2 linked regions of the Styela clava genome follow. The protein of the gene in region 1 purifies or fractionates together with the protein of each later gene. This does not show direct contact. Links are inferred from orthologs where the notes say so. Each region holds a gene or a part of one and is shown on either strand. Other genes may lie near its edges.

Region 1 (3,762 bases):
ACAAATTGAAATGGATTTACTTGCTTTTTAAAATACATCACTATCAGTTTTAGATATTATTTCATTTTCTCTAAAATTTGCAGTAGCTACCATAAACTGTCCAATGGTTTTTTTGGAGAAGGAAATGACCCTGATAGTTTCGTTTTCTGTTTCAGATGTCCAGTAACATTCTTAATGAATTTAATTATTCTAAAGTACGAATTTGTAGAAAATAAACCATTCATTACAAAGTACCGTAATGTGCTGATTTGAAATACCATAAAGCTGTCATAAACCTTTTAAAGAATCGAGTCGTGCATATTTCAATGTTTTGGTTTAATTAGAATTTTATTGAATTTGTGTCCAATTTCACATGATTTCCTCTTTTTATATGAGATATGACATCAGTGTATATGAGAAATTATCTAATGTAGGCAATTTCATATATCATATGCATGATTATTCCCTATATCATTCTATACTTGGTGAAGTAATAGTTTGACTGGTGGTAGCCAGGTCGCACTCTTTATGCAATGGCATTTTTGTGTCCACAATACTTTGGATGATTATGGTTTGTGTGGTAACATATAACTGCCTTTTTATTAGTGTTATTAAAGATATTTGACTAAAAAGCAGATATTCTGATGTACATGGTAAAAAATGAAGTGATTTTTTGTTCCCATGGCTCTCTTGGCTCTATATGGTATAATTTATAAGCAAAAACTATGGTTAGAAGAAGTGATTTACATCTAAAAGGATTTTCATTTTCTGAATCTAAGTTTTGACAGTGCATTACTTCATTTCCATGAGATTGTTTCAAATTCACACCCAATATGGCAATATCTAAATAGAAATTATTCATGTGCTAGGCGTATACTGCTTTCTAACTGTTTGTGCCTTTTTTTGTTTGTTAAATTCATCAAGTAGTTGTGTGTACCACTGACTAATTTAATTGCCGAAATGTAATGCTTATTAATCTCCCTTCGTTATAGATAGTTGAAAAAAGTCAATGTTGTGTTTCTATGCTTGTTGTTGTGTTTCTAACCACATAGTCATTTCAATAAAAGGTCTGCAGTGATTTTGATGCTTCACAGCTTTAATGTTCCAATCATCCTTTCTAGATAATGTGATTTATATTTTTTTGTTTTTCATCTTCACAGAGCATAAATATGGGTAGATCCAGATCTCGTTCCAGAGAAAGAGACAAGAAAAAACATCGATCACGATCTAAAAGATCACGCTCAAGAGAACGAAAGCGTTCTCGATCAAGAGAACGTAAGAAACATGACAGAAAAAGATCCAGATCTCGATCAAAAGACAGAGATCGAAAATCTCACAAGTATAGTCATTCAGATAATAATAAAACTGATAAAGAATTAAAAGAGGAAAAGTCACAAGATTCTCAAAATGGAATGGTAGTTGAAGAGGAAGAAGATATTCAAAAGCCAAAGGTTCAACCTCTCAGTCTTGAGGAAATGCTTGCCAAAAAGAAGGCGGAGGAAGATGCTGCTGCCAAGCCAAAATTCACTACCAAAGAGGACCGTGCTGCAGCAGCAATCGCCCGAAGGCAACAAGAAGTCGAAGAAAAGCGAAAACAAATGGATGAGATGCGTAAAAAGCAGAGGGAGATATTTAGCGAAGGGAGAAAAATGCTTGAGGATCCATATGATCGAGAACGTAGAGAGCGCAAAGAACGAAGAGCCAAAGATGATGACGATGAACTAGACAAGAAACGTATCGATAAAGACGCAGAGAAAGAATTGTCATCAATCAAAGATCGATACCTGGGTATTGTAAAAAAGAAAAAACGCGTCCGACGTCTCAACGACAGAAAATTCGTGTTTGATTGGGACGCTGGTGATGACACTTCTGTTGACTTCAATCCAATTTATAAAGAAAAACACGAAGTTCATTTGTTTGGCCGTGGATTTATTGCAGGCATTGACGTTAAAGTCCAAAAGAAGTCACAATCACAATTTTATGGAGAACTTATGGAGAATCGTAGAACACAACAAGAAAAAGATTTAGAAAAGAAAAGGATGGTAAATGCTTTGAAAAAGGAGAAGAAACGATTGTGGGATGATAGACATTGGACAAAGAAATCTTTAGAGGAAATGCAAGAAAGAGACTGGAGAATCTTCCGTGAGGATTACAGTATAGCTACTAAGGGTGGAAACATTCCACCACCTTTACGATCTTGGAAAGAATGTAAGGATATTCCAGACGAACTTCTAGCAATCATTGATGGACTTGGTTACAAGGATCCAACTCCGATTCAACGACAAGCTATTCCCATCGGCCTGTTGAACCGTGACATTATCGGCGTTGCAGAGACTGGTTCTGGTAAAACAGCGGCATTTTTAATCCCCCTCTTGATATGGATAACATCACTGCCTAAAATAGAGAGATTAGAAGATGCAGATAAAGGACCATATGCAATTATTTTAGCTCCGACTCGTGAACTGGCACAACAAATCGAAGAGGAAACCATAAAATTTGGTAAAGAACTTGGAATGCGTACTGTTGCAGTCATTGGAGGTTTATCAAGGGAGGACCAAGGTTTTAAATTGCGCATGGGATGTGAAATTGTTATTGCAACACCAGGTCGTCTTATTGACGTCTTGGAAAACCGCTATCTGGTATTGAGCCAATGCACATACGTTGTTCTTGACGAGGCTGATAGGATGATTGACATGGGTTTTGAACCTGATGTGAAGAAAATTCTTGATCATATGCCAGTGACAAATCAAAAGCCTGATTCAGAGCAGTTGGATGATGATTTACTAATGCGAAGCAATTTTCTATCAAAGCATAAGTTTAGACAGACTGTCATGTTCACTGCAACTATGCCTCCTATTGTTGAAAGGTTAGCTAAAACTTATTTGCGACGCCCAGCGATTGTGAATATTGGAGTAGCTGGAAAACCAATAGAAAAAGTAAAACAAATTGTTCATTTGTTAAAGGAGAATGCAAAAAGGAGAAAGCTGTTGGAAATTTTGGGAGCAGGTATCACACCACCTATTATTATATTCGTAAATCAGAAAAAAGGTTGCGACGTCTTGGCAAGATCATTGGAAAAAATGGGATACAATGCTACTACACTTCATGGGGGTAAAGGTCAGGAACAACGTGAATTCGCTTTGAGTGGATTAAAAGAAGGAAGTAAAGATATCCTTGTTGCCACAAATGTGGCTGGACGTGGTATCGACATTCCTGATGTTTCTTTGGTTATTAATTTTGATATGGCAAGGTCGATTGAAGATTATACTCATCGTATTGGACGTACAGGGAGAATGGGAAAGACTGGAACAGCTATAACATTTATTACTCAAGAAGACTCGGCAGTTTTTTATGACCTGAAACAAGCATTGCTTGAGAGTCCGGTCTCTACTTGCCCATCTGAACTTGAAAGACATCCTGAAGCCCAACATAAACCTGGGACTATACTCACTAAAAAGCGAAGGGAAGAAACTATTTTTGCTTAGAAATCTTAATATCATTTCTTTTTCAACTTTGCTGACCTGATTGCATTTCGCAGCCAATTACTCATTAACATCAAAATTTGTTTCAAGATCTGTATGGAGTCGAATGGATTTTCACCTCCAGATATAAAACAATTTGTCTTGATGTCAAAATGATATGTCTACAAAAGCTTGTTTCATGTTTTTGTTTTATTTTAGTCTAATTATGGCACCCTTTACTTGATGTTCCATGAAGCATAGTGCCTTCATTCAGTACTGTTACATACAGTTAGTTCATAGCCGATTGCCTTCATGCATAAAT
Region 2 (2,728 bases), about 3.7 Mb from region 1:
CAAGTGGGGTGGGTGCCAGTTCAGAATAAATGGTGGACAAAACAGAGGAAGAAGATGACTAAAAAAGCGAGTTCACAGAATCAGACGAGAGCAGCGGTCCCCATGTGGTATTTATTATATATATATATATATATATATATATATATATATATATAATAGGGAACCTCAGGACAATTGCAGAAATTTTGCATGTTGGTGTAAAAATGCCATTTGTATTATTGTCCAATCAGTTTGAGCAAGTGGGGTGGGTGCCAGTTGATGATGAGCCAGTCGATGATATATATGTGTCGGAAATGACGATAACACTGAAATTTTCTGTACTGGGATTTTCTGTGGTGAGGTCAATATTTATTTACTTGGCTGAAATGAAATGAAATGAAATGACTGATTATGAACATTTAAAAACTAACATGTAAACAACTTAGGGAACACTATCAGTTGAAGTAACGCGATACTACGAGAAAACACATTACCAACTCCAGAAAAAAAATTCTGGGGTCAAGGGTCGAGAAACATCCATTTGTATTTGGAAGGGTTGGGAAAGTGATTATTTTGCTCAAAACTTCAATAGTGGGGATGAATATATTAAATAGTATGCGCTTTGCTTATTATTTATGTTTAATATTGTGCAAGTGCTAACAAAGTGACCGGACAATGTGCTCACTCATGCTCATACCGAACACCCAGAGAGATTTATTGTTTCGTAAATGAAAAAACGAGCGCCGGGTCGTGGAATTTAGAAAATCTCCGAAGAAGGCTTCCGCAAAAGCAGCAGTGACTTCAAGCCTCGGCCTCTTATGATGCTCCGTTGATGGCATTTTCAGAGTTTAGTGATACCTGTATTCAGTGTAAAATGCTGGAATGGATATTTTCCAATTTTATTTTATCTTAAAAATATTCATTGACTGAAATTTTTACTTTTTACAGTTATAGGTACCGTACCGGTATGTCACAGCTCTATACGGTATCCAAGCCAGATACCAGTATTTTTTGAGATGTCAAAAAGAGTGAGATTCAGTGGTGAAGCTGGTGCAGAAGAGACTGTGCATAAATTTCCAAAATATGATGATGCATCTACAAAAAAATTTGAACTAAAAAATAATCAGGAAGATATTGTTGGACGGAGTCACCATCAATCTAGATTCAAACTCGACCACAGCCTTGATAGTGATGAAGAAGATAATAATAAGAAAGAAGATTTTGAAAAATTAACAGAAGAAGATGTTGAAGGAGCAGAAGATGATTATGTGGACACAGGGGAGGAAGTTGGAATCACACCTTTCAACCTAAAGGAGGAAATGGCTGAAGGAGACTTTGATGTTCAAGGGAATTATCATTTCCGGAAGGAGAACGTCATTCGGGATAATTGGTTGGATAATATTGACTGGATGAAAGTTAAAAAGAAAGATGTTGAAATGGAGCAAGATTCATCTGATGATGGAGAAAATACTTTAGATGAACTTGAAGTTTTGAAGAAAATAGTTGCTCTCATGCTACCTGGAGAAACATTAACCAGAGCTCTTCGACGCCACGGCGGAAAGGAGAAGAAGAAACGTTCATGGCGAAAAGAAAAAGTTTACGACCTTAATGCTACAAATGAGGAAACAAGCACAAGTAATGAAAATGACAAGGAAGCGAAACAGAAAGAGAAATTGTTGGAATTGACTGGTCTAGCAGATGAAATGACTGGCGCCGGACATTACGATGTTTATACAGATACTTACGAAAAGTTTCAACATAAAATTGAAAAAATGGAGGCCGAGAAAAAGGCGAAAGAGCCAGTTATACCTGATGACGCGGATGACGATGATGCTTTGGATATATTAGCAAGTAACATAGATGAAACAGACAAAATGAATGAATCTGGAAGTACTAATAGAAATGAGAATAGTAACGGTGAAAATGTAATAAAATGGGAATTTAAATGGACTGAGGAAGATTCTGAAATCCATGGACCTTTCACATCACAAGAAATGTTTGAATGGCAAGAACAAGGTTATTTTAAAGATGGTGTTTTGGTTCGAAGAACAGATCGTGATGAATCACAGTTCTATTCATCCAAACGAATAGATTTTGATCTTTATACTTGATCTATGAAACTAAGCGTCCTCATTTTTTCCAAATTCTTACTCTTCTTTAATGTGGATTTACTCAGCTGTGGGAGGAGATTTTTTGGGGCATAAAGTTTATCTGTAAATTATGTCACAACTGCAAAACTAAGATTAACTCAATCTGAGAAGTTATGTAGGGTAAAAATAACTCTGCATTTGAGGGTTTTATAGATAATGTTACTATTTCTTGTGCCTCAACTGTGTGTTGATTGGTCTCACTGCTGCACTGAGTTGAGACTAAATTACAGTCTTTCATTTGCTATTTTGTAGATTATACCTTGTCAAAATAATCTTCAAAATATCAGTGAAAGACCCTGCTTTAGTGTTTTGGGTGTCAGTTCATTTAAGTTACAACGTTAAACTTTGTCAGCTGATAATGCGTTTTTTCAAATGCCCTTTTTTGGCTTAATTTTGGTCATGTTTCAATTACAGAGTATTGGAAATACTTTTTGATAATTTTAGTCTGCAACAGTCATTTATCTTCTCCTTAATTTTATCGAACTACTAAATTTTCATCCCTTTGGCAGGAGTTTGACCTAGAGTAGTTCCTATGTTTTATTTGGTTGTTTAAATCGTTTGGTTCCCAACATTTTTAACGCACACAAATGAAATGCCAA

What was found.
Region 2: the proteins of putative ATP-dependent RNA helicase DDX23 (region 1) and CD2 antigen cytoplasmic tail-binding protein 2 homolog purify together in Homo sapiens (affinity purification with mass spectrometry; 6 studies listed by BioGRID and IntAct, counting the BioPlex papers as one, with this or other methods). This does not show direct contact. The link is inferred for Styela clava from reciprocal best matches to the Homo sapiens genes DDX23 and CD2BP2.

What each region holds. Positions count from the first base shown.
Region 1 is NC_135258.1:10,986,533-10,990,294, forward strand, and holds the start of putative ATP-dependent RNA helicase DDX23, read left to right. Parts: upstream 1-1,148; coding exon 1,149-3,464; 3' UTR 3,465-3,762. Other genes in the region: cyclin-H-like, read left to right, coding at 1-31. UniProt on the Homo sapiens protein: Involved in pre-mRNA splicing and its phosphorylated form (by SRPK2) is required for spliceosomal B complex formation.
Region 2 is NC_135258.1:7,298,735-7,301,462, reverse strand, and holds CD2 antigen cytoplasmic tail-binding protein 2 homolog, read left to right. Parts: upstream 1-928; 5' UTR 929-995; coding exon 996-2,090; 3' UTR 2,091-2,100; downstream 2,101-2,728. UniProt on the Homo sapiens protein: Involved in pre-mRNA splicing as component of the U5 snRNP complex that is involved in spliceosome assembly.